Linked DNA regions of Oryctolagus cuniculus. The protein of the gene in region 4 interacts with the protein of the main gene of each other region in a pairwise test. Links are inferred from orthologs where the notes say so. Each region holds a gene or a part of one and is shown on either strand. Other genes may lie near its edges. The genes, in order: CCDC121, KAT5, KANSL1, TFIP11, NFU1, CCHCR1 and METTL17.

Evidence for each region.
Region 1: the proteins of TFIP11 (region 4) and CCDC121 interact in binary tests that used the Homo sapiens proteins (3 or more experiments, as listed by UniProt). The two-hybrid records come from large-scale screens. The link is inferred for Oryctolagus cuniculus from reciprocal best matches to the Homo sapiens genes TFIP11 and CCDC121.
Region 2: the proteins of TFIP11 (region 4) and KAT5 interact in binary tests that used the Homo sapiens proteins (3 or more experiments, as listed by UniProt). The link is inferred for Oryctolagus cuniculus from reciprocal best matches to the Homo sapiens genes TFIP11 and KAT5.
Region 3: the proteins of TFIP11 (region 4) and KANSL1 interact in binary tests that used the Homo sapiens proteins (3 or more experiments, as listed by UniProt). The two-hybrid records come from large-scale screens. The link is inferred for Oryctolagus cuniculus from reciprocal best matches to the Homo sapiens genes TFIP11 and KANSL1.
Region 5: the proteins of TFIP11 (region 4) and NFU1 interact in binary tests that used the Homo sapiens proteins (3 or more experiments, as listed by UniProt). The two-hybrid records come from large-scale screens. The link is inferred for Oryctolagus cuniculus from reciprocal best matches to the Homo sapiens genes TFIP11 and NFU1.
Region 6: the proteins of TFIP11 (region 4) and CCHCR1 interact in binary tests that used the Homo sapiens proteins (3 or more experiments, as listed by UniProt). The link is inferred for Oryctolagus cuniculus from reciprocal best matches to the Homo sapiens genes TFIP11 and CCHCR1.
Region 7: the proteins of TFIP11 (region 4) and METTL17 interact in binary tests that used the Homo sapiens proteins (3 or more experiments, as listed by UniProt). The link is inferred for Oryctolagus cuniculus from reciprocal best matches to the Homo sapiens genes TFIP11 and METTL17.

What each region holds. Positions count from the first base shown.
Region 1 is NC_091433.1:175,379,016-175,383,171, reverse strand, and holds the start of CCDC121 (coiled-coil domain-containing protein 121), read right to left. Parts: upstream 2,801-4,156; 5' UTR 2,611-2,800; coding exon 2,273-2,610; intron 1,678-2,272; coding exon 735-1,677; 3' UTR 1-734. Other genes in the region: GPN1 (GPN-loop GTPase 1), read left to right, coding at 2,862-2,972, 3,626-3,719.
Region 2 is NC_091432.1:6,000,398-6,003,703, forward strand, and holds the end of KAT5 (histone acetyltransferase KAT5), read right to left. Parts: intron 2,724-3,306; coding exon 2,583-2,723; intron 2,503-2,582; coding exon 2,409-2,502; intron 1,681-2,408; exon of another isoform or gene 1,387-1,680; coding exon 1,227-1,386; exon of another isoform or gene 1,150-1,226; coding exon 693-1,149; 3' UTR 501-692; downstream 1-500. Other genes in the region: RNASEH2C (ribonuclease H2 subunit C), read left to right, coding at 1-108, 182-301, 406-432. UniProt on the Homo sapiens protein: Catalytic subunit of the NuA4 histone acetyltransferase complex, a multiprotein complex involved in transcriptional activation of select genes principally by acetylation of nucleosomal histones H2A and H4.
Region 3 is NC_091448.1:17,098,815-17,102,314, forward strand, and holds part of KANSL1 (KAT8 regulatory NSL complex subunit 1), read left to right. Parts: intron 1-2,744; 5' UTR 2,745-2,827; coding exon 2,828-3,500. UniProt on the Homo sapiens protein: Non-catalytic component of the NSL histone acetyltransferase complex, a multiprotein complex that mediates histone H4 acetylation at 'Lys-5'- and 'Lys-8' (H4K5ac and H4K8ac) at transcription start sites and promotes transcription initiation.
Region 4 is NC_091452.1:20,276,962-20,280,461, reverse strand, and holds part of TFIP11 (tuftelin-interacting protein 11), read left to right. Parts: intron 1-2,583; coding exon 2,584-2,737; intron 2,738-2,985; coding exon 2,986-3,142; intron 3,143-3,500. UniProt on the Homo sapiens protein: Involved in pre-mRNA splicing, specifically in spliceosome disassembly during late-stage splicing events. Intron turnover seems to proceed through reactions in two lariat-intron associated complexes termed Intron Large (IL) and Intron Small (IS).
Region 5 is NC_091433.1:133,215,517-133,219,643, reverse strand, and holds the start of NFU1 (NFU1 iron-sulfur cluster scaffold homolog, mitochondrial), read right to left. Parts: upstream 2,801-4,127; 5' UTR 2,785-2,800; coding exon of another isoform or gene 2,723-2,784; 5' UTR 2,609-2,722; coding exon 2,409-2,608; intron 1-2,408. UniProt on the Homo sapiens protein: Iron-sulfur cluster scaffold protein which can assemble [4Fe-4S] clusters and deliver them to target proteins.
Region 6 is NC_091436.1:139,347,023-139,349,894, reverse strand, and holds part of CCHCR1 (coiled-coil alpha-helical rod protein 1), read right to left. Parts: intron 339-2,872; coding exon 226-338; intron 72-225; coding exon 26-71; intron 1-25. UniProt on the Homo sapiens protein: May be a regulator of keratinocyte proliferation or differentiation.
Region 7 is NC_091443.1:53,913,165-53,917,248, forward strand, and holds the start of METTL17 (ribosome assembly protein METTL17, mitochondrial), read right to left. Parts: upstream 2,801-4,084; 5' UTR 2,724-2,800; coding exon 2,643-2,723; intron 2,490-2,642; coding exon 2,336-2,489; intron 2,247-2,335; coding exon 2,112-2,246; intron 1,018-2,111; coding exon 936-1,017; intron 712-935; coding exon 630-711; intron 290-629; coding exon 216-289; intron 1-215. UniProt on the Homo sapiens protein: Mitochondrial ribosome (mitoribosome) assembly factor. Binds at the interface of the head and body domains of the mitochondrial small ribosomal subunit (mt-SSU), occluding the mRNA channel and preventing compaction of the head domain towards the body.

The DNA.
Region 1 (4,156 bases), on a different chromosome or scaffold from region 4:
AAGTCCAAATATTTTAAAACTTTTTTGATAGGTTTTCCTGAAACAGGCATTCAATCACTTCTTTAATGCTAAAAGTGTTTCTTCAAAGAACATTTCACAAAAAAGAGGCAACTTAATAAATGTCACCATTCAAATCCTCTTACCCCCTTAATGTATTCAAAGCTGAAATTTTTGTAGGGGTTCATCATCAGATTTCAAAGGTCATTCAACCTAGCACTTAGTGGGCTTGCTGTTATCAGAGTACTTTTTCAACTGGCGAGGAATCTGTAAAAGAAGCTACCCACCCACTGGCCTACACTTAAAAAAGAACTTAGAAACACTTCATCCTTGTCTGCTGATTTGGCCAAAAGGAATACAAGTAAACTGATCCGTGTTATTTATACAGCAGAAAGCTCTATTCAGTGAAATGCTGTCCTTAAAGGTATTTTCTCTATAAAGAAATCTTAACTTGGCTAGATGAAATCACACACCCCAAGTGGGTGTTTCTGAACTTGCTGGATGTATGGGGTGTTTCGGAGATGGTGAAACAGGTTGGGCTATCAGGTATTAGGTTAACTGGAAGTCTGAAAATTGTGTTTATCAACATAAGGTAGTTTTTTAAAATACTGCTTAAAGGAAGCCGGTCACCTTACATGACTGCACCTAGTCTTTTGTACCAACACGTATGGTATTTTACTACAATCTGGAATTCAAAAGCCTTTCCTAACAGGTTTGCTGGGTACGTATTTGAGGAACTACGGGGGGTTTATCGTTGATGCGGCGCCCAGGGGAGGCCTCGGTGGTGCCTGGGGGACACCCTGTCCTTTAGGGCACCCATGGCGTCTTTCTTGCAGCCGTTGCCTCCCACGGAGCATGCTCTGCACAAGCCACTGTTCCTGCTCCAGCTGCTGCTTCTGGCTCCTTAACTGGCTTTGAGTAGCCTCTAATTTCTGGGATTGCCGCATTAGCTGCCAGCATTCCTTGCGTAGCCGCTGGTTCTCTGCCTGGATGCCGTGGCAGAACTTCACCTCAGCCTGCTTTGCTGCCGACCTCAGGGCCTGCGTCTTCTCCCTGAGCGCCCTCCTTTCTTGCTTTCCCAAGTGCCTCACGTCTGGCTCATTCAGCTGCTCCTCCAGCAGGGCCTTTTCCTTGAGGAACTGGGCGTGTTTCTCGGCGGCGATCTGCGCTTCGATCTTGTTTTTCTCCTCCTGTAATTTCTGGATTTGTATGTCCTGTTTCTCCTTTAACAGCGAAATGTCTCTCAGATCCTGCAGCTGCTGCTTCAAATCGGCTTGTATCTTTTTCTTCTGCATGAGCTCTGCTTTAAGCACTGCAGACTTCTTGGCATATCTGGCGGCTAACTTCTGTCTCCCCCTTTTAATCTCTCGACTTTCCTGTATGTACTCCGTCCACAGCTTCACGGGCTCCTTCGCCAGCTCTTCCGTTTTCTTGGTCAGGTACTCCAGAAAGAACCTGTTTTCCGCCTGGAAGTGTAGCTCCTCCTCGTGCAGCTGCCTGGTGTCCTCCAGTAACAGCTGCTGCTGGGCTCGGGCTGCTTTAATCTGCGTGTCCAGCTCTCGCACCTTCGCCATTCTTCTTCTGATGCGCATCTCCGCACTTGTTAGCTTCTGGGGCTGGAGCAGATTATTTATTAGACTGAGGTACGACGGAGGGGAACTCCTGGGACCTTCGGCAAACCTGAAGGGAGAGCCCATGAGACGTGCCTCTGTCAGTTCTTAATGCAAATTTAAGCAATCATAAAAGATGCACAATTGTCCTTAATTAATACAGCGACTATTTACTTATTTGAAAGGCAGATTTCCCATCTGCTGGTTCACTTCCCAAATACCTGCCACAGCTGGGGCTCCATCCGCATCTCCCACGTGGGTGGCAGGGACCCAAGTATCTGGGCCACCAACTGCTGCCTCCCAGGCGCATTGCAGGAAGCTAGACTGGACGTGGAGTTGGAACTTGATCCCAGGCATTCAGATACGGAATGCTGGTGTCCCAAGTGGCAGCTCAACAAGTATTTTGGAGACCTACTACGTTCCAAACACTCTGCAAGCCACGGGAAATACAACCAGGGTTGAAGATGCTGGGGGTACCGCCGACAATTTGCAATAGGCATTCCCTGCAACCCCGCGGCGTAGTGTCCGTTTTAAAGAACAAGAAACCAGACGGCTGACCAGTGGCAGCGCCTGGGTATGAAACCCAGATCGTCGGACGCGGGACGGTGATGGGGAGCGGGGATACTTCTCGGGCTCCTTCATCCTCTTTCCGTGGCCGCACTCACTTGCTCCTGGAATCCAGCTGTTGACAGCGGTAGCTGCGCAGTTCTCGGAGGGTGGTCGCCGAGGAGCGCGCGCTGACGTCGGGGGTCGTGAAGGCGGAAAGGTCTTGCAGCTGCTCAGTCTGCGGCTCGACGGGTCTCCGCGCTGCCCAGCACCCCCAAGCGTCCCATTTAGCCCCCGCCCCGGTCAGCCCAGCCCTGAGCTGTTTAATCTCCTCGGGTGCCAAACAAGCTCTAGCAGGCGGCAGACCAGCGTCTTCGGTCCTAGCTCTTTGGGACCCCAAAATGAGACGTACGCCCCTCTTTTTCGTGTGGTGGGGGTTCGGCCCTTGGGAGCCCATCTCGTCTCCCGCTCCGAGGAGCCAGCGACGGGCAGTGCTCCTTTTTCGGCTCCGCTAGCCCTCTCCTCTCGCTTCTCTGCTCCCCTCACTTCTCTCCCGGCGTCACTAGCCCGCCCGCAGCAGAAACTCGGCACCCGCTGGCCGGCGCCTCTCGGCGGCGTTCGACTCTATTCTCCGCCCAATCTAGAACGTCGCGGAGGCCTCTCTAGCCACGCCGCGCCTCTGTGGTGAGGGGCGGGGCCTGAGCAAAGATGGCGGCGCTCGCGGCTGCGGCGGAGCCCCAGGCGTCCGGGGGTCCTCGGCCCCCCGTGTGCCTCTTGGTGTTGGGGATGGCGGGATCCGGGAAAACCACCTTTGTCCAGGTGACGCACACTGCGCGGGCGGGGTAGGGCAGCGCGAGAGGTGGTGGCGGGCAGAAGGCCAGGGAGAAAGCGACGGAAGTCCGTGGGGAGTTGGAGGACACCGGCGCGTGGTTTTCAGGGACTTCACCGAACTCCGGCTGCTTCGTGGGCTGAGGCATAGCGGACCCGCGCCTGTGTTCATTGAAGCCCTCTTCTGTGCACACTTGGTTCGACTTACCACGTTGTGTTGGAACTGTTTGCTGGGGAAGTTGCCAGCCTCTCGAAGGCAGACTCACAAGGCATGGAGTAGATAGATTCGGTGTTAACCCATTGGGTTTCGGTGAAGATTTGCGAAAAAAGTTATTTCTGGGGCCCCTCTCATGTTCCAGGCATGGGGGATACGGAGAAAATGCGGTTGACAAGGTTTTTACTTTCATGGAGGAGATAGAAAGATACTCGCCATATGGGTTTGCAATACAAGTTAATAAGTGGGCAAGAGTAGGGGAGGCTCTGTCAGGTGAGTGATAAGGAAAAGTAGCGTTTGAGCCGAGATTTGATGTTGGAAGCAGGGTGGATATTTCGGGTGGCTGGAGGGCGGTGGGTGAAGGAGTGGAAATGCCCTTCCTGATCACCCCCTCCTCCTCTCCCTCCCCCTCCCATCTTCCTGTCTGCAGCGGCTCACTGGGCACTTGCACAGCCAAGGTTCCCCGCCCTATGTGATCAATCTGGACCCGGCTGTGCACGAAGTCCCCTTTCCTGCCAACATTGGTGAGTACACTGTGCCCTAACGCAGAGAGGGGAACGCCTCCAGCCTGCCAGTCTTCAGGGACTTTTTTTATTTTCTGAACTTCGTACTTTTATCTCTCTTGGATGTTCTTCAGTCCCTAAACAGGCTTCTTTATAAAACATTCTCCTTTTTAAACACTGGCCTTTATCTAACGCCCAGGCTAAAGCTAGGAGCCAGGAACTCCATGCTGGCCTCCCATGTGGTGGCGGGGACCTAAGTGCTTGAGCCATCATCTGCTACCTTTTAGGTTGCTCATTAGCAGGAAACTGGATTGGAGGTAGAGGTGGGACTTGATCCCAGGCCCTTCCATATGGGGGGTACTTCCATATGTAGCACAGTCCCTTACCTGCTGCCCCACAGTGCCTGTGTCCCCCACCCCCAAGCTTTTTATACCCCAAATACAATAAAAGACCACATA
Region 2 (3,306 bases), on a different chromosome or scaffold from region 4:
GAGGTGGCGGTGCCGGCCGGCTTCGCGGGCTACGTCCTGGCGGCCGAGAAGGCAGACGGGCGGCCGGGGTCCGGGGACGCGGAGCGGGCGCCGCTGGAGCGGGACTTGGTGAGCCACGGCGGGCCCGGGGCGGGCGCGGCGGCGGGGCCGGGCTGAGCCGCCTCCCTCCCTCCCTCCCCAGGACCGCTTTCTGGGCGCCACCGCCAGCTTCGGCCGCTTCACGCTGTGGGGCCTGGAGACCGTGCCGGGCCCGGACGCCAAAGTGCGCGGGGCCCTGACTTGGCCGAGCCTCGCGGCCGCGGTGAGTGCACGGGCGGGGTCGCTGCGGCGCGGGGCCCCCCACGCCGGACGGGGTCAGTGGGGGCGGCCGGGCCCCCGCACGGTTACAGGCGGCTCCTCTTGCAGATTCACGCTCAGGTGGCGGAGGACTGAGAGCCGGAGCCCGTCCCCACCTGCCGACCAGTACGCCCCGCACCGCAGCTGTGCAGAACCCTGGAGGCTCCGCCTACGGAAACGATTTATTGCCTGGTGCGGGGGCCGCAGCCAGGGCCACCCCACCCCCACCTTCTACTTTACAAAAGCCATTTTTACAGTGAAAGTGTCCTGTACAGTTGCCCCCAGCCCCTGCGCACTGCACAAGCCGCCCGGCTCCTCCTGGTCCCTGGTCAGGGCAGGCCGGGCCCGCAGCCAGCTCAGCCTGGGCGCTGACCCGAGCCCTCGGCGGGCCTGGGCACTGACCCGTGGCCCCTGCGGGCCCAGCCCCGTCTGGCGCTGCCCTGCGCGCCTCGCGCGCTGTGCCTGCTGGGGGCGCCGGGTCCCGTGCTCGCCGGCCCCGCGCCCGGAGGCCCGGTCACCACTTCCCCCGCTTGCTCCAGTCCTTGGGGGTGAAGTGCAGACACTTGGAGTCGATGCGCAGCAGCCGCTTCAGCATTGCCCGCTCGTGTCCGTCCACGATGTCCTCGGACAGCGTGAGGATGTACTGGCCCTGGGCGAGAGAGGGCCCGGCAGGGGTCAGCGCCCGGCCCGCACCGGCTTCCCGACTGCCCGGCCCTGGCCGCCCGCCCCACCTTGTAGTAGTTGATGAGGTTGAGGTACTGCAGCGTGGAGATGACGTCCTCCTTCTTGATGCTGGTGATCTCGCTGATCTCACTGCGGGAGGGCAAAGGTCAGGTCTCCCGCGGCCCGGGGCGGGGACAGCCACGCACCCCCGGGGGCGGCCGGCTCACTTGATGGTGATCTGCGGCCGCTCCCCACTCTCGGACTTGAGCCCCATCAGGATCTCCAGGATGGTCTGGGACCAGTAACTGCGATAGGACAGCAGGCCCAGGTCCGACAGGGGCTTCTCTGGGGTCCCCGTTCTCCCTTCCACCTTGGAGAGCTCATAGCCTGGAGCAGGGGAGCAGGAGAGGTGGGTAAGCGGTCAGACAGTGGCATCGCAGCGGGCACATCCTGCAGCAGGGGGCCGGGCCGGACGCCCACTGCTCCACCCGCTAACCTGCAGCCTGGCAGTGCAGGCGGACCAGGGACCTGGGGCCCTGCCGCCCAGTGGGGCCCTGCGGAGCTCCAGGCTGCTGGCTTCAGCCTGGCCCGGCCCTGCCTGCTGTGGGCAACTGGGGAGTGAACCCCTGACCAGACCTGTCTCTGCCTTTCAAATAAAATGAAAAGCATTTAAGAATTAGAGCCACGTGGCTTCTCTGCCCACCACCTGAAGGCGCTCGCCCTTGGCCTGGGTGCTGGGGGGGGCACCTGCAGTCAGCCGAGGCTGGGGGGGTGCCCATGTCCTTGGCCGTTGCTGTGTGGGTGCAGAGGGAGGCAGGGCAGACCCCGCCCTCTGTCCGTCACATTCTGGCTGGGACCTCGGGCTCGCCAGCTGCTCTGGGATGGAGCGGGCTGCGTGGTGGTGAGGAAGGAGCTTCACCAAGCGCTTCCCAGCTGGAGAGAGGCCTCCCTGCCCCTGCCCTCCTCCAGCTGACCACGAGAAGTTAGCTCCTCGCAAGCCCCTTTGGCCCCACCAGACCCCGAGGGGCAAGGCCCTGGGCCGGTCGCGCTTGTCTGCTCTCCTGCCCCTGCTGCACACTGGCCAGTCCCAGCGTCCACCCTGACCTGCTGTGCCTGCAAGGACCACGGAGGGGGTGGGCACCCTTGGGTTCCTGCTCAGCTGTGCGGGTTCATGCCACAGCCGTGGGCAGCAGCAGGTCAGCCAGATCTGGGAGAGTGGGCTGAGGTTTGGGGCCCTGGCCAAGATGGGGTGGGAGCAGTCACCCTGGAGTGTGAGACCTCGGCGAACCCCAGCTTGGTTCCTGGCCGACCCCCTTGGCTGAGCTGCACAGTGGGGGACAGCCGTGGGCGTGTGGCCTGAGGCACCAGCGGCAGTGCACGGGCCCTGGGCGGGGCGGCCACATACTCACTGAACTCAATCAGCAGCTTGCCGTAGCCCCGGCGCTGGTACGGGGGCAGGGTGAGGATGCAGGCCACGTTGTAGTCTTCCGTGGACTCCTTTTCCTGCAGGAGGGGTGGGCGAGCGTGAGGGCAGGGTCTGCGCCCACCCCAGGGCCCCCCGGGGACAGCGGGCAGGCGCTGACCTTGGAGAAGTAGCCCACGATGTGGAAGCCCTTGCAGTCGTACTCCGTCATGACGTAGAAGAGGAAGGGGTCTGTGTCGTAGTACAGCGTCTTGTGGTCCAGGAAGCACTTGGCCAGCAGACACAGGTTCTGGGAGTAACTCTGCGGGGGGAGAGGGAGAGCCCGTTCCCACTGGTGGTGCCACCCGAGAGGGCCCCTGGGCCAGGCCAGCGGGTGGGGTCGTCCCTGCCTGGGGCCCGCGCGCTGTGACAGCGTCCAGCTACCTCCCTGGGGACGGAGGGTCTGCCCCGCTGCCCGCCCCTTCTCCGTCTCAGCAGGGCCCGGGGCGGCTCCCTGGCCCTGCTGTGCTGGACACCAGCGTACAGTTTGGAACGCAGGAAGTGTCTCCGGCCAGGACACGAGGGAGCCCCTGTGTGGCAGTGCTGGGAGTCGCTGTCAGCAGACCCAGCTCTCCACTCACCCCACGGCTGCACCTGCCGCTCCCCGAGGGAGGGCGGGGCTCTGCCTCTTCACCGAGGACCAGCAGGGCCCCCACCCTCAGGGGACTGCCTCTGCACACAACTCCTGGAGAAACCTCACCCCTGGCTCCTCACCTGCGCACTGCCACGCGGGTGCCCAGTCCACACTTCACGCGGAGGGGTGCGTAGGCAGCTGCCGCCTCTCAAACTCCCTGCACGCAGGCCAGGGCCGCCCCCCCTCGCGCTCCAGTCTCAAGTTAGCCTTA
Region 3 (3,500 bases), on a different chromosome or scaffold from region 4:
GCGCCGGCCGAAGCGCGCCGGCCGTGGCGGCCATTGGAGGGTGAACCAACGGCAAAAGGAAGACCTTTCTCTCTGTCTCTCTCTCTCACTGTCCACTCTGCCTATCCAAAAAAAAAAAAAAAAATTCTGATTTTTGCTTAAAAACTCAGTTTCTATTACGGCAACAAAACCATCAACCTTGAAGTGACAGGTAAACTTGTTCATTTTTCAGAAAATGTGTAGCTATCCAAGTTTGAACAATCTTATTTTTTCTGTCAGTCGTTCTGCCTGCTTATAAAAGCAGTATTCCATGAAAAAATTGTAGTTCAGTTGTGCAGGGCTTTTTCTTGAGACCTCATGATGCAGCAAAGTGCTTTGTGTGTGTTTTCTCTTTGCTTCCACAGAATATTTTTTTTTATTTTTAATTTATTTGAAAGAGTTAAACAGAGAGGTAGAGCCAGAGACAGAAGCAGTCTTCCATCTGCTGGTTCACTCCCCAAATGACCGCAACAGCCACAGCTGAGCTGATCCGAATCCAGGAGCTTCTTCCAGGTCTCCCACATAGGTTCAGGGGCCCAAACACTTGGGCCATCTTCTGCTTTCCTAGGCCATAACAGAGAGCTAGATTGGAAGAGAAGTAGTCGGGACTCAAACCAACACCCATATAGGATGCCAGCGCTGCAGGCCAAGCTTTATCCCGCTGCACCACAGTGTTGGCCCCCCACAGGATATTAAAAACAAAAGCCATGCACTTAAAAGTCAAAATTTAATAAAATTCATAGCTTTTATTCATTTATTGAAGCTAAGTGGAACTGAATTAATGGAAATTGTGAGTGAGTGGAGAATATAATTACTACAGTTTGATGCCTCTACCTTGATTTGTACTAAGTTTCCAGCATTTTTGCTCACTTTTGTTTGTGAACACTCATTGCAAATGTAAACACAGTACGGCCATGGTGGCCATTTGGGGGGTGAACCAATGGAAGGAAGACCTTTCTCTCTGTCTCTCTCACTGTCTATTACTCTACCTGTCAAATTAAAAAAAAATGTAAACACAATAAATAAGGCAGCTAATGTTAGTTTTACTATGAAAATATATCTGATTTCATGGACCTTCAAAATGGTCTTTGAGTTCCCAGAAGTCCAGAGACCATACTTAAAAGAATAGCTTTATGTAGATCTCCCTTTGTTCCTAGACCAAACTGTTCAAGGGAGGTGAAAAAGAGGCAAGTGATTGAAATTTTTGGCGTGGTTACTAAATAAAAGCAATGCTGTTACCCAAGGTAATGAAACAGGTTGAGAGGAGTGTGTTAGAAGAACAGCATGAGCTCTGAGTTTCAGGGGGCTTTGAAGATTAGAGTTGCGAATGTTGGATAGAGCAACTCAGAAAATGATTTTCTGAGAGTTAGTGGACCTCGCCATAATAATGGTTATTGCCAAGTAAGTGAGTTGAGAGAAAAGAGAAGGCTGAAGAAAGGACCTTAAGGAGCACTAAACTTTAAGGGGGCTGGAAGATGAGAATGGATGATGGCATTGTCAAGGGCACAGGGAAAGAGAATTTCAAGGTGATCAGCACTGCCTGAGGCTTCAGAGAAGTCAAATGGGAACTGAGATCATTTGGATTTGATAATGAAGCTGCTGGTGATCTTTGCCAGAAGAGTAGGGATGGAACCATGATGATCGAAGGATGAAGAGTGCACAGGCAGCTATTCATATTGTTGTTTCAAGAGGTTTTGGGGTTGGGGCTGGCACCATGGTACAGTAGGTTAATCCTCTGCCTGCAATGTCGGCATCCCATATGGGCGCTGGTTCTAGTCGCAGCTGCTCCTCTTCCAATCCAGCTCTCTGCCGTGGCCTGGGAAAGCAGTAGAAGATGGCCCAAGTCCTTGGGCCCCTGCACCCGCATGGGAGACCAGGAAGAAGCACCTGGCTCCTGGCTTCGGATCAGCGCAGTTCCGGCCGTTGCGGCCATTTGGAGAGTGAACCAACAGAAGGAAGACCTCTGTCTTTCTCTCCCTCTCTCTGCCTGTAACTCTGTCAAATAAAATAAATAAAATCTTTAAAAAATAAAAGAAAAAAATGAGGTTTGGGGGCAAAGGGAAAGAGACTTGTTGGCAATTAATTTGAAAGATGGACTGTACTGAGAGGACAGAGGAGACCTCAGCAAATTCATAGGCAGAGAGGAAGGAGCCAGTAAATTAAGACATTGGTGAGCATTGTGATCTGTAAGAAAATAAAATTGATGAAGCCAATTGGCATTACAGGTGAGGTAAAATTAGCCTGTGGCACAAGCTTTACTTAGAAAGAAGTGAGAAGCTAATGAAAACTGGATCTTGTGGCCAGAAAAATGCAGACATAAGACATTTGTCATATAGCTTTTTCTTACTAATTTTTAATTTAATTATTGGATGTTTGGTTCGGTAGATTGGCTTTAAATGTATCGGTCGGTGTCAAGAAGTTCAAAGAAATTTTTCTCTTAAATGCATATGAGTTGACTTGATTAACTCTTTAAGAATGGAAAATTTGGGCAGCTTTCAGGTTATGGTCACAAGTGACTAAAGGAAGGGTAGAATATTCTTTCTCTTTGCTGGAATTGTACCCTCCTCCCTCCCCTGGATAAAAGATCTGGGTCTCCAGAATGACTCCAACATGTTTTCTGTGTAGCAGCATAGTTGGTACAATAGCCTCAAGTAGAGCTTGTATTAGAAACATGTGTTGTTTTTGAATGTGCTTGTATTTCTAACTTCCTTTTCTTTTTCTTCTAGTCTGTTCTCAGGGGAGGCAGAAAGGGGCCGAGGAGCTGGCCTCGGCACCGGGAGAGGCTGGACTTCCTGTCTCTGTGTGCTGAATGGCTGCGATGGCGCCCGCTCTCACTGACGCAGCAGCCGAAGCACACCACATCCGGTTCAAGCTGGCTCCCCCATCCTCCACCTTGTCCCCTGGCAGTGCCGAAAATAACGGCAACGCCAACATCCTCATTGCTGCCAACGGAACCAAAAGAAAAGCCATTGCTGCAGAGGATCCCAGTCTAGACTTCCGAAATAATCCTACCAAGGAAGACTTGGGAAAGCTGCAACCACTGGTGGCATCTTATCTCTGCTCCGATGTAACACCCGTTCCCTCAAAGGAGTCTTTGAAATTGCAAGGGGTCTTCAGCAAGCAGACAGTCCTTAAATCTCATCCTCTCTTATCACAATCCTATGAACTCCGGGCTGAGCTGTTGGGGAGACAGCCAGTTTTGGAGTTTTCCTTAGAAAATCTTAGAACCATGAATACAAGTGGTCAGACATCTCTGCCACAAGCACCTGTAAATGGTTTGGCTAAGAAATTGACTAAAAGTTCAGCACATTCTGATCATGACAATTCCACTTCCCTCAATGGGGGAAAACGAGCTCTCACTTCATCTGTTCTTCAGGGGGGTGAAGTGGAGGGATCTGAATCTGGGGACTTGAAGGGGGGTATGACCAATTGCACTCTTCCACACAGAAGCCTTGATACAGAACACACCACAATATATAGCA
Region 4 (3,500 bases):
GGTCAAGGAACTGAAGCCAGGGGTCTCGTGCCGAGGCAGAAGCTGTGCTAGCTTTGCAAGCTGGACCTCTCTGACTGGAGGTCGGGCTCCTGGGCACTCAGATACTGCGTCTTTTAGGGAAAAGGTCCCTCGGTGCACACTGCCCCGGGGATGTTGAGTGACGCGGCTGGTCGTTTTGTAGGGCTCACCCCATTTTGTAGTATTGCCTGGGGTTTTCCTTGGATTTTTCTCCCCACTCTATTCCTTTAAGTAAACAATGGAAATAAATGAGCTTCAGGCTAACGGAGGAAGGGACCAGAGGTTAGCGGCCGGCTGTGAGTGCTGGTCGGAAGTAGTCGGGGCTCACGGAGCACAGCTCATTCACAGCTGTCCCAGGTGTTCTAGCTCAGGGCTCACAGAGCACAGCTCATTCACAGCTGTCCCGGGTTCTAGCTCAGGGCTCACGGAGCACAGCTCATTCACAGCTGTCCCGGGTGTTCTAGCTCAGGGCTCACGGAGCACAGCTCATTCACAGCTGTCCCGGGTGTTCTAGCTCAGGGCTCACGGAGCACAGCTCATTCACAGCTGTCCCGGGTGTTCTAGCTCAGGGCTCACGGAGCACAGCTCATTCACAGCTGTCCCGGGTGTTCTAGCTCAGGGCTCACGGAGCACAGCTCATTCACAGCTGTCCCGGGTGTTCTAGCTCAGGGCTCACGGAGCACAGCTCATTCACAGCTGTCCCGGGTGTTCTAGCTCAGGGCTCACGGAGCACAGCTCATTCACAGCTGTCCTGGGTGTTGTAGCTCGGGGCTCACGGAGCACAGCTCATTCACAGCTGTCCCGGGTGTTCTAGCTCAGGGCTCACGGAGCACAGCTCATTCACAGCTGTCCTGGGTGTTGTAGCTCGGGGCTCACGGAGCACAGCTCATTCACAGCTGTCCCGGGTGTCTAGCTCGGGGCTCATGGAGCACAGCTCATTCACAGCTGTCCCGGGTGTTGTAGCTCGGGGCTCACGGAGCACAGCTCATTCACAGCTGTCCCGGGTGTTGTAGCTCGGGGCTCACGGAGCACAGCTCATTCACAGCTGTCCCGGGTGTTCTAGGTCAGGGCTCACGGAGCACAGCTCATTCACAGCTGTCCCGGGTGTTGTAGCTCAGGGCTCACGGAGCACAGCTCATTCACAGCTGTCCTGGGTGTTCTAGCTCAGGGCTCACAGAGCACAGCTCATTCACAGCTGTCCCGGGTTCTAGCTCAGGGCTCACAGAGCACAGCTCATTCACAGCTGTCCCGGGTTTCTAGGTCAGGGCTCACAGAGCACAGCTCATTCACAGCTGTCCCGGGTGTTCTAGCTCAGGGCTCACGGAGCACAGCTCACTCACAGCTCTCTCCTATGCTTTCTTAGTTTTCATTCTCATATACACATAGTGGATATGAACTGCTTCTGAGCTTGATTAACATAGTTGTTAATATACTTTACATTCAGATAACCTTGGATTTCACTTATTATGACTTTATCAAAATTTCTACTCTTTTGATTTTGTCCTTAAAATTGTATTTGGAACAAATGCTTTTTGAGCTAAATTAATTTTTTAATGTAAAATGAAAATAGGATTAGTTTTTTACTTATAGAACAACCCTTAATTTTCTTTAATTTTTTTTTCTTTGCAAGGCAGAGATGCACAGAGAGAGCTGCCTTCCTCTACTTCACTCCCCAGTGCCTGTAATGACCAGGAGTTGGGCCAGGCACAGGCCAGCTGTGAGGACCTCACTCCGGTCTCCCGTGGGGTGAAAGGATAGGAACTCTGGTCACTGTTGCCTTCTAGGAGCTGCACTAGCAGGAAGGTGGAATCTGGAGCTGGGAGTGATCAGCAAACCCAGCTCTCCGGTGTGGGATGCAGCCATCTTAACCACTGACCAGACACCCACCCTGCATATTGGGAATTTATAATAGCTCTGTATTGGCATTGTGTACCCTTTAGTGATAGATCTGAATTGAACATGTCAGTTTAAAAAATGTTAAGTGTTAGGGCCGGCATTTATGGTACAGTGGGTTAAGCCGCTGCCTGCGACACCAGCATCCCATTTGGGTGCCAGTTCAACTCCTGGCTGCTGCACTTCTAATCCAGCTCCCTGCTAATGCGCTTGGGAAAGCAGCAGCAGATGGCCTAAGTACTTGGGTCCCGGCCACCCATGTGGGAGATACAGGTGAAACTCCTGGCTTCGGCTTGGCTGTTGGGGCCATCTAGGAAGGGAACCAGCAGATAGAAGATCTCTCCTCTGTGTCTCTTTCTCTGTAACTCTGCCTTTAAACAGATAAATAAATCCTTTCAAGCAGTGTTGATATTCTGATACATGAGGAGATTGAAAATATTCATGGAAAATGAATATTATAAAAATTATGCATACATTTCAGGGTTTGTGTGTGTGTGTGTGTGTGTGTGTGAAAATAAACTTTTCCCTGAATTCCCTCTTGCCATGAACTTTCTGAGGCAGACGTTTGCTCCTCAGATGTGTTCCGTGGGGGCCACCTCCTGGCGCAGGCCGGGGTCTGGGCAGGGCGGCTGTGGAGGAGCCTTCACCCCTGGTCTCGGTGTCTGCCCACAGCCCCCGGGACTACTCTGCGCCGGTCAACTTCATCAGCGCTGGGCTCAAGAAGGGGGCAGCGGAGGAGGCGGAGCTGGACGACTCTGAGGACGAAGAGAAGCCTGGAAAGCAGGAGGAGCTTCCGAAGGATCTGGGCCCCAAGAAGCTAAAGACGGTAGAGTCTCTGTCGCGGGGCTGGGCCGCGGTGGCCTCTCCTGGCAGGGGGACCTGGTCACGTGGGTTTCTGTGGCCGCAGGTGCGTGAGGCGTGGGCGCGCCGCGTCTCTGCATCCTGGCGCAGCGCAGACACCTGCCCCGGTGCCCTGTAACTGCCGGGCTGCTTTCCCAGGGCCAGGCTTCCTCGGACTTTGCCGCTTTCTCCTTCCTTTCCCTGCAGTCAAGCTCTGGCCTTTGTTCTCTGCAGGGGGGCAATTTTAAGCCCAGCCAGAAAGGCTTTGCAGGAGGAACCAAGTCGTTCATGGACTTCGGCAGCTGGGAAAGGCACACGAAAGGGATTGGGCAGAAGCTTCTTCAGAAGATGGGCTACGTGCCCGGCAGGGGCCTCGGGAAGAACGCACAAGGTACCGCGCCGCCCCAGCCCGCCCGCCGAGGCCGCGCCCTGTGGCGGGCACTGCTGTGTCTCGGCTCTCCTCGGCTCCGCCAGCACAGGGCGTGCTGCTCTCAGCGCCCTCTCCTTATCAAAACTCGCCCTAGACACAGCATGCGTCCTAGCAGGAGGAGAAGGGGTGCAGGGTGCAGACAGCCTTCTGTGTTGGCCTGACTCGTGTTTCTGAAAAGTGAATGGGTTGCCAGCATTGAAAAATCCGCCTAGAACCTTGGATTCTGCCTGAAGTGGTTTGCTGAGTCAGCCCTGAGACGCCCCACTGCAACACAGCCTGTAGCACAGGTTTGCAGCCCACCCCACTGCAACGCGGCCTG
Region 5 (4,127 bases), on a different chromosome or scaffold from region 4:
CTGTTTGCTAGTCTCTCTCTCCAGTAATTTCCCACTTCTTCCCGGTCTTTCCCTCCTAGGTTTCCTATCCGTCCTAGGTTTCCTATCCGAGTCACGGCACCATTATGTCGCTCCCCCTCTTCGTGGAGGAACGACACTAAACCCTGCCTAGGCTTCATATCCGAGTCACGGCACCATTATGTCGCTCCCCCTCTTCGCGGAGGAGCAACACTGAACCCTGCGCTGTTCTTTCGTCTGCTCGGCCCTCCCCGGGTTTGCTGCTGGTTCTTCCCGGGTTGGCTACTATCCCTTCCACCTCCGTGGAAGGGCAGTTCCCCCTGGCCACATTCCCCACTTCCGCAGGGGAGCGGCACACCGCCGGCCGGCTTTCTTGGGGGGCTGCACAGGTGTTCCTTCAGCTAGATGTTCCCCTTAGATGTTCCTGGTGCATGCCGTCTCTCTCCTCCTTTATAGTCCTCCTCCGCCAATCCTAACTCGGCTGCCCACACGCCGAGTACGCTGCTCTCCAATCAGGAGCAAGTCCTACAGTTTATTGGTTGAACTGGAGGCAGCTGTGTGGAAGCTGTTTACTTCTCTCCCAGCGCCATATTGTGGGAGAGCAGATGCATAGAATAAGTCTTAATTCCAGTAACTCAGTCTAGTCCGGGCTGCTCCCCACACTGGTTCAATACTCAAAATGCCTGCACTACTGGCCTGGAAGGGGCTGGCTGAAGAAAAAATGTGGAATTCAATCCAAGACCCAAGTGAGTGTCAGGAACCCAATTTCTTTTATTAATTAATTTATCTATTTATTTATTTTTTGTTTATTTGATAGGTAGAGTTATAGACAGTGAGAGGGAGAGACAGAGAGAAAGGTCCTCCTTCCGTTGGTTCAACCCCAAATGCCTGCTACAGCCAGAGCTACACCGATCTGAAGCCAGGAGCTTCCTCCTGGCCTCCCATGCGGGTGCAGGGGCCCAAGCACTTGGGCCATCCTCCACTGCCTTCCAGGGCCACAGCAGAGAGCTGGACTGGAAGAGGAGCAACCAGGACTAGAACCCTGCGCCCATATGGGATGCCAGCGCCACAGGCGGAGGATTAACCAAGTGAGCCACGGCGCCAGCCCCAAGGAACCCAATTTCTTGAGCCATCACTGCTGCCTCCAGGCGTTTGCATTAGTAGGAAGTCAAGAGTTGCTGGTGGGCATCAAACCCAAGTCACTGATATGGGATGCAGGCATCCCAACCACTAGGTCAAACACCTATAATAACCTCAAAACACACACACTTCTCTATTATAGGCAGGAAGTGATGATCAGGCTACATCACTTTTTTTTTTTTTTCCACAAAAACAGAATACTGTTTGTCACAAAGGAAGAATAAGTACCACTTAAGTGGAATGCAGATTACCTAAAAATTTTACCTACTTTTAGTAATCTTTAAATGAGATTTATAAGCAAAAGGCACTGTGGTACCATAACCATAGAAAGTTTCCTAGATGTTGCTGGAGAGACTAAAGGACTGGCACTGAGGAGTCACAACAGAGAAAGCATCAGTGACATCATGGAAACAACACTGGAGGGGAATTACGGACTCTGCGAGGCCTCCCTCCCTCCCTCTAGAGAGCTGGCCACAGCTAGGTAGGACACGACTTTAAATCACACGACTCTACGACAGCACTCTTTGTTTTCTCATTTGTCGTTTTGTTTTGTTTTGGTTTTTTACTAGATTGCAAGCTCATTAAGGAAGAGAATATCTTCCTGTGTTCGCAGGTACTAGCACTCCGCCTCAGTTCCTCACAGCTGCCTCTTAAAGGCTGGGATGACAGCTCCTGTGATCCGTGTGCCAGCGCCAGGTCTTGCAGTCACAGTCAGCAACGGTAGCTGCTACCGTTATCACTCTGTGCAACCGCTGGTTGAAACGCCCTGAATGCACTCGCGAAGTCTCTCTGGGCATACTCTGGAACTTGGAAACACACGGGAAGACCAGTATTCCTGCCCCTTCACCCACGGAGAAGGCAGCAGAGTGCCTACATAAGCACATTCTGACAGAGAGAAGTTGGAAGTTTTTTAGAAAACCGAGTAAAATTAGTCAAGGAAGACACCTACTGACGCATCTGAAGGGCAGACAGGGTAACCCACAGAATTCCCGCAGCTAAGAAACGCATTGAAACGTCAAGAGCAGCGTTAGCACCGGTCAAGAGGCCAAACTCCCTGTTTTTCTCTTGAAGTAAAAATCACGACCGGACACCCACACATGTCCTCTAACTGATGCTGACCGGCGTCTTCAGGAAGCAAAACTCCTAAAGGGACCAGAGAAAGGGGAACACAAAGGAACGGCGTGGGCTTAGGGGAGAGGGGACTCGGAGCTGCAACCCTTGCAAACTAAGCTGCGTGGCTCTGGACAGTCACGCCTCTCTCTGGGCCTCACCGGGAAAGTGAGGAATGAGACCAGGTGTGTTCTTTTTGATGCGACATTCTGATTTCGTGTCCACACCCGGGCTCCGCGGGCTCCCGAGCGCAGGCAGTCGGCCACAGGTCTGAGCCCGAGGCGAAGCGCGGCGCCGTCCCACCGACAGCCGTGCCCCTCACGACCAAACCCCCACTTGCGGCGACGGGGGGAGGCGCCATCAGATGCACCCCGTCCCCGCTCCCCCACCTTGAGAGACGACCGGCGAGGCGGCGACCGCTCGGCGGGATAGGTCCGGAGGCACGCCTCCTCCGAGTTCCCGGCCCATCACCTACCGACTGCGAAGCCCCGCGGCAGCAGCCGCAGCTCCCCAACCCCGCCTGGCCGCCGCCGCCATCTTAGTCCAGGAGTGCGCAGGCGTGGACAGGCCTCACCCCTTCGCAACGGGGCAGAAGCCGTGCGCAGGCGCGGGCCAGCCGAGAGCTGGGCGAGCACTGGGACGAGCGCACCCTACAGGCCTTCGGTGGCGCTGCTGCGAGTGAGCAAGGCTGGCGTGGACCGGGAGGTTTGCAACCAAAGCCAGCCTCCAGCGTGAGCCTGAACAAGGGTGGGGAGCTCTTTGCTCGGCTTGCGCAGGCGCCTTCCGTGAACCTGTACGCTCTCCGCACGTGTGTGCAGATGCTTACTTTACTTTCTTCTACCTGGGTTCTTCGCTGGGCTTGTCCTGCTGACGGAGCGCCGTTTTCCACCTCCAAACTGCCCCATACCCTCTTGAGCAGCCTGCTCGCTCTCCGCATCCGGCTCAGTGATTGCTCCCCAAGACTCCCGTAGCATCTCTGAAGAGTTCTTGCCTTGCCCCTGCCTTCCTCCCCTGGGGCGGACGCAGGCCTGGGCGTTAATCCTGTAGGCTGCGCTTGCCCCTCCTGGACTAACCCGCACAGAGGACACACCTACCGCACTGCTGCCCTTCTCTGGTAAGCGTGAATATTTACTACTTTCCAAAGTAGAGTACAAAAGCCCGTGAACCACTCTTCTAGAACCTTCCTGGGATACTCAGTTATTTTCTAGGACAGTGGTTCCTAGACTGGGGACTGGGACGCGCTGTAAATGCTCATTTTCAGGAATCACCTTAGACCTCCTGACTCAGAATCTTTCTGTATAGGGGGGCCCGCGATCTGTTTTAATAAGCCCTCCTGGTGACCGATGCAGACGAAACGGTGAGAACCGCTGCTCTGAAAGAAGGAACAGGTGGATGCCACACCCCGGACAACGCCAGCGCTTCTAGGGTCCAGAGACGCATGGGAGAGGCTGAGGCTCTGAGGCCTGCGGCTGGCCTGGGCCTGGACCCCGAGTGTGCTGTGTCCTCCCAGTGCTGCGGGCATGACTGCCTCGCATCGCCGTCTTCCCGCTTAGTCCTCTACTCAGCACAAGCCTTCCCCTCTGCTCTGGACCCTGAATCAAGTGTAAAACCGGGCTCTTCCAGTCAGGATTCCGCCCTGGTTAGAGAACAGTCTTTCCTGCCTTCAGCTTCCCTTCTTGAGATTTCTTCTCGAGGAAAATCCTGCCTCGCCCCCCATCCCCTCCATCCCCTTTTTCTTCATTCAGAGCCAACAGGCACGGAGAGTCGTGTGCGGTGTTGGGCTCTAGTTTATCACCTCCTTCCCCTCTAACCACCGAAGTCAGGCTTCTGTGTCCTGACGGTCCCAGTGTCAGAGGAGAAAAATCACAGCCATTGAGCTT
Region 6 (2,872 bases), on a different chromosome or scaffold from region 4:
CACACACACACTGCCCACACTTTACCTCTCCAGGTGCAGCTGTGCAAGGGCCAGTTTTCGAGCCATGAGACCTGGAGAGAAAAGATGGAAAGCGACAGGTTGAGTTTGCAAGGGGAGTCCGGGAAGCAGAAACGTGTGGGCTGGTGAGCAGGAGGAGGAAGTGGCCGAGGGATCAGAGGGCTGGGCCAGGATGCAGCTCAGAGCCCACCACCACCCCCAACTCACTGCGGACAGTGTGGACCTTGCGGACGGCATAGCTGAGTCGGTTACTGAGGCTGGGCAGCCGGGCCACCGCCTGCTCCACCTTAGCCATGGTGCTCTGGAGGCAGACCTGGGAGCTGGAGGAGCACAGGCCGCTGACCGCTGACCCGCACCTCACCCCCACAGGGCCTGGGGCCTGCACAGACCCCTCCCCCCATCCTGCACTGTCGCACAGGTGGGGGTGGGGGGAAGCAGGGAAGGGAAACAAGAGAGGCTAGGGGTAGGACCTGGGGCACGTGTGCCCCAACCTCATGCCCTATGCTGCAGCTGCTAAAACAAAACCTGGGAGGAGCTTTAGCCTTTTAGCGACTGTCACAGAAATACGATCTGGTTGCTTATAAAAATATTTTAAAAAGCACAGCTATTCCTGGTCCCACAACCCATGCAGAGTAAACTTCTCATTTGGATCCTGAGAACCAGTGTCCCCAATAAAAGCCCTGCAATCAACACAGCAAGGTGCAAGGAGCCCCATCTGGCCCCGGGCGCCCCAGGCTGTAAAGGGCTCAGTGACAACAACGCCGCAGGGCCTGGTCTCTGCCTGATGGCCACTCGCTCCCCTGCAGGCCACGAGGCCGTCTCCAGGGCCTGGGATTCCTGGCGCTGGACGCCGCGCCACGTCTGTGGTGGAAGAACACGGCCCGAAGCTTCCATGTCTAAGGAGCCCCTGCCCCTCAAGAAGGCCTCAGACGACTGCCTTATCTTTTCAGGCAAACTCGGGGCTTCTTTTCTTTTTCTTTTTTTAAGATTTACTTATTTATTTGAAAGGCAGAGTTACAGAAATAGAGGGAGAGACATACAGGGAGAACTCTTCCATCCACTGGTTCCATCCACAGGGCTGATCCGAAGCCAGGAGCCTCTTCTAGGGTTCCCACATGGGTGAAGGGGCCTAAGCACTTGGGCCATCGTCTACTGCTTTCCTGGGCCGTGGCTTTACCCGCTACGCCACAGCGCCGGCCCTAAAGCTGATTTCTCACCACCTGGTCTTGGATCACTGCTGCGCAGCTCTCGAACAAGCCCAGGAGTGTGGTTTCCCTGACACGTGAAGGGCAGGTCTGTGAGTGGCATCAGCTGCTGGCCCAGAAGCAGAACCAGCACGGCCCATGAAAACTGAGGGGCTTCAGCTGGGAGCCCTGGGAGGAGGCCCAAGGGGAAAACGGGGGCAGGCCTGGAGCTTCCTCGGAGACGGAAAAACAAGCGGTGACCACAGCAAGTACAGCGAGGAACCCTTTCGGTGGGAGCGCCCAGCACAGGCCGTGGCTCTAAAGCCACTTCCAGGGGTGGGTGTGAGGAGCAGAGGTCAACAACACGGCCGCCTCTCGGGACGTCTGCATCGCACATGAGTTCAGGTCCCAGCTTCACTTCCAACTTCTGCTTCCTGCCAGTGCACCCCATGGGAGGCCGCAGCAGGTGACAACTCTGGTACTTGGGTCCCTGCCACCCACGTGGGAGTCCCACATCAAGTTCTGGGTTCCTGGCTTAGGCCAGGCTAAGCCCCAGCTGCTGTGGGCATTTGGAAAGTGAACTGGTAGACAGAAGAGCTATCTTTCTCTCTCTCTTTCAGTTTCTCTGGTTTTCAAATAAAAAATAAATTTAAGAAAAACTTTAAGATCCATCTTCTGACACAGCCATTGAGTCACCTAGGGACTGTGTCGCCAACCTGGTAACATCCCAAAGTTGGTGCTTTCTGGCAAGAACTCAGCGAGAACCCTGCCTGACCCCTGGGCACCACAGGAAACCCTGCCCCCGGCCTGTCTTTCTGCTCTCCTGGAGGCAGGCGCAGCTGCAACGGGCGGAATCTGGGTGCTGGCTCGCATACCCAGGCCGGTGCGGAGCAGGTTGCAAATGGCTCCCAGTTTGTTCAAGCCAATGGGTTCCCAAGGAGTGAATCCAAGAGAAGGCCGTGGCTGCAAAGGCCCATCCTGCTGACCCCCAGAACTCCCCTGATGCATCCAGGACAGCCCTGTGAGGACCGTGGACAGTCAGAGCACAAACTACACACCAGCACCGCACCAAGGGCTCCACACGGACCGCCTACCGCCCATCCCAAGGACCCCGGTGCCTGGGGAGGCCGCTACTAGCACGAAGCAGCTCTTTCCCAAGGCTCTATGACAGCCTCAGCAAGGCCATGACTACCAAGTCGGCATGAGGGACACGGGCTGCAACTGCCTTAGAAGGTACCGGGCCGGGGCTGGCGCTGTGGCACAGCAAGTGAGGCCACTGCCTGCAGTGCCAGCATCCCATATGGGCGCCGGTTCAAGTCCAGCTGCTCCACTTCCAATCCAGCTCTCTGCTGTGGCCTGGGAAAGCAGTAGAAGATGGCCCAAGTCCTTGGGCCCCTACACCCACGTGGGAAACCCAGAAGAAGCTCTTGACTCCTGGCTTCAGATCGGCACAGCTCCGACTGTTACAGCCAATTGGGGGAATGAACCAGAGGATGGAAGACCTCTCTCTCTCCCTTCCTCCCTCTCTCTCTCTCTCTGCCTCTCCTCTCTCTGTGTAGCTTTGACCTTCAAATGGGTAAATAACTCTTTAAGAATAAAAAAAAGAAGGGACCGGGCACGGCATTGCAGATGCGAGATCTAGCAGCAGGCATGTAGCATTACATGGATTA
Region 7 (4,084 bases), on a different chromosome or scaffold from region 4:
TTCAGATATGGGTCTTTTTTCACTATGATACTTCTTTTAAATCCTGGCCCTAACCCATATACCTTCTTCTGCCTCGCCTAATCGGAGAGAAGAAACATTCTAGGTTCTCAACTTTCCTATTTTTCCTGTGGTTTTTCAAGTTCTTGATACTGGATTGGTGTTAAGTGTGGCCTTCTAGAACTAGACTTGAGAAAGGGATGAAGCAAGTTACTCACCAGGTGACAGAGCCAGTACCCGAGCCAAAGTCCATTAAGGTTTGTGGCTGAAACTCTGGAATTCGAGTTCGGATCTGGAGAAACACACAACACCCCACAGTATGGTAAGCAGATACTTATTTAGTGCCTTAGTAAATATGAATTAGGGGACTATGACAGAGGAAGAAAGATGTGAACACATTCTGAGATTCAACATAAACACTTAACAACAAGCTCCTAAAATAGTGGTTCTGAACCTTTCTTGGGTCACAGAATCCTTTTACAGGACAAGAGAACTTTAAGAAAGAAAGAAAAAAAAAAAGCAAAGCATAAAAGCCTACGCAGCACCCTAAGAATCCCTACCGTACAGACTACATTATGAATCAATAAGGGAACAGCAGGTAAGAGCGTTCAAGTTAGACACAGATTTTTCACCTCATGGAATGCCCTGGAGACTGCCGCGAAGCCACCATCCAGTCTCGCTGCCATATACACCAGGCTCAGTCCTTCATTGTAGCTGCACAAAAATCAGAGTCACACCTGCTGACCATTGCGAGGAAATAAGATCTTGGAAAGGGCTCTTCCACTTTAGCTTTTCACTCCCCAGGGCAGAGTGGTCCTGGGGATCACTATCACTCAGGCACTTTTTCAAACACTGCATTGATCATGCAATTGTGCGGCTCCATTCTCCTTTTCAAGTCCAACTTTTCTTCCTTCTGCATGTTTTCTAGTCCCCCTCACCTCAGTTCTTGCCAATGGTAGGTGGTTTTGCGCAGGGCATGTAGCACTGCTCCACGAAGCTTTTCTTCTGTCTGGGATGAGTCTGCGGTGAGAACAAGGACTGGAAGTGAGGACCTAAGGAGAACAGAGACCAGATCCAATATTTAATTCACTGCCCTCCCGGTTCTCCCCTCTCCCACTGGAAAAGCCTCAAAGCTCAAGAAAGCAGCCAAACCTAGAGAAAAATTTCAGCTAAGGATAATCACCACCAGCACCCCTAGAGTGTATGAGATAGTATTTGCCTCCAACAGCAGTATATTCAACTTAACTGACCCTACCCAACAAATTTTTTTCTATAATAAAGGAAAATACAATTTAGATTTAAAGGATAAGAGAAGGACAATTATTTTGTGGATTTCCTCACTTCCCCAAAACTTAAGACTGTGACATCTTGAATGTTCCTATAGGTGGAAAAGGGACTCTATTGTGTTTGGCAAGTATGTACTAAATGCCCATTCAGAGCCAGATTGTGGGGGGTGTAGGGGACACAAGATAAATAAAAGGTCTGTAAGACGAAGGAGCTCACAACCGTGAATATATTACATGTATTCTCCAATCCCAGAGGTTTTCAGCATTAGGCAGTTAACTTTACAGGGACTTTCACCTTAATAAGAATGGGCCAGCGCTGCGGCTCAATAGGCTAATCCTCCACCTAGCGGTGCCGGCACACCGGGTTCTAGTCCCGGTTGCCCCTCTTCCAGGCCAGCTCTCTGCTGTGGCCAAGGAGTGCAGTGGAGGATGGCCCAAGTCCTTGGGCCCTGCACCCCATGGGAGACCAGGAGAAGCACCTGGCTCCTGCCTTCGGATCAGCGCCGTGCGCCGGCCACAGTGGCCGTTGGAGGGTGAACCAACGGCAAAAGGAAGACCTTTCTCTCTCTCTTTCTCACTATCCACTCTGCCTGTCAAAAAAAAAAAAAAAAAAAAGTAGATGGTCCCAACTGGGATCCAGATTTCAATTGCCATACTCTGTCCCTTCCTCACGTCCCAAGGGTAGTCTCTGGAACAAATCTATCTTCCAGTAAGGTGGAAAGTCAAATAAGAAACTCCAATATCTATTTGAGAGACTGTAAAATTATCTCTTGCACTTCATTCCCCAGTTTCAATCCGGCCTAATCTTTCATCAGTCTTCAATCCTACCTGCGTTTTCCAGGAACTTTTTCTCCAGACTCACAGCCCGTCTTTGTAGCTCCTCAGGTTCTACGGGCAAGTGTCGGCTCCAGAGATAATTGGTCAGTGCTTGCACATGCTTCTCCACATTGGGCACTGCGTTCTCTGGAGGCCAGAGATGAAAAGCAGAATTACCTGTGTGCAAAGGCCCATTTCTTTTTCTCCTCGGATACCCCTTTCCCGCCGTTACTTACGGAGTAGCAGTAGCTGGGCGGCGTCAGCCAGTGCCTGTGGCAGTTGCACGCACGGCAGACGTAGGATGCCAGGGTGCCGACGGTGAGGCTTCTTCCCCAGAAAATCGGACTTGTTATCTACCTGACTCACGCCGCGAACAAGGGCCGCCAGCGCCTGGAAGCCGAGAAAGGAAAGCTGGGTGCCAGCCACAAAGGAAGACTGAGGGCTCTCAATTAAAGGAAGCGGCTGCCAAACAGCTCCTTCTTGGAGCGCAGCTGTCTCTAGGGTCCCAGAGCTTCTTCGGGAGCAGAGAAAGTAGGTACTCACCCGGGACTGGGGGGCCATTCGAAGCCCGCGGCGCCATCTGCCCAATATCGAGGGCAACCTCTTTCCCGACGCAGCCGCCATGCCTTCGCAGGCGAACCGGAAACAGAAACGAAAGTGACCCTCAGCTCCCAACGACGCGCGGAACTTCCTCCGGGATTTCGCTCGAGACAGCATCAACCAATGAGAAGAAGGAGTGCTCATTAGTAGCCAATAAGCAGTCGATATGTAAATCTACTCGCGGCGGAAGCCGTTCGTGGGCGGGACTTGGAAGTCAGGTCCGACCTGATCGGCGGAAAGGGGGTGCTGCAGAGCCCGAAATTGAGGGGGCGGGGCATGAGGGACGGAGGCGGGCTTTCGGCTGTCAAAATCTGGTTGCTTTTCTCCCTGTAGAACTGAATCTGGAGTTGTTTTCCTCTGTGAACCGGAGAATGCAGTAATGAAAAGGTGAGGAAACCAGATTTAAACTACTAAAGGTAGTAAATTAATAATTTAGTTAACAGTTTAATTAGTTGTCAGTTTCTCGTCAGTTAGCAATAAGCTAACGCTAACGCTTGCTGAGAACGCCCACATGCTAGGTAATGTGCTAGGAACTTCTCCTTGGGGTCTGTTGGGAAGTCAGCATCCCATATCAGAGTTCCTGGGTTCCGCATTCCAGTTTCTTGCTGGTGCACACCCTGCTAGGCAGCAGGTGATGGCCCAAGTCCTCGGGTCCCTGTCACGTAGGGGACCCGGGTTAAATGACCAGTCCCTGACTTAGGCTTGGCTTCACCCCTGCTGTTGCTGGGATTTGAGGAGTGAATCAACAGGAGATTCTCTCTCTGTGTTTAAAAATAAATTTTCAAAATTAAGGAAGAAAATCCTTCTATGTAATCTAGTTCCTACCAAGGCATATCCTGCTGTCAGCCCCATTTTGCACTTGAGGAAAGTGAGACTTCTAATGGTTAAATATGTGCAAGATCACAATTTTTTTTAAAGATTTATTTTATTTATTTGAAAGAGTTACAGAGAGAGGTAGAGGCTGAGAGGGAGGTCTTCCATCCGCTGGTTCATTCCCCAGACGACTGCAACGGTCAGAGCTGCCCCGATCTGAAGCCAGGATCCAGGAGCTTCTTCTGAGTCTCCCACAGGGGTTCGTTCAGGAGCCCAAGGACTTGGGCCATCTTGTACGGCTTTCCCAGGGCATAGCAGAGAGCTGGATGGGAAGGGGAGCAACCAGTACTAGAACTGGGGCCCATATGGGATGCCGGTGCTTCAGGCCAGGGCTTTAACCCGCTGTGCCATAGTGCCGGCCCCTGAGATCACAAATCTTGTTAGGTGACAGCTAGTTTAACACTGATTTCATTTTTACACAATATGCTATACCCCATATTGTTGGTGGTTGGGGCACAAGTTAGTTAACTTTATGCTAAGTGTTTGGAGGTGTTAGCATGTAACACTAAAAA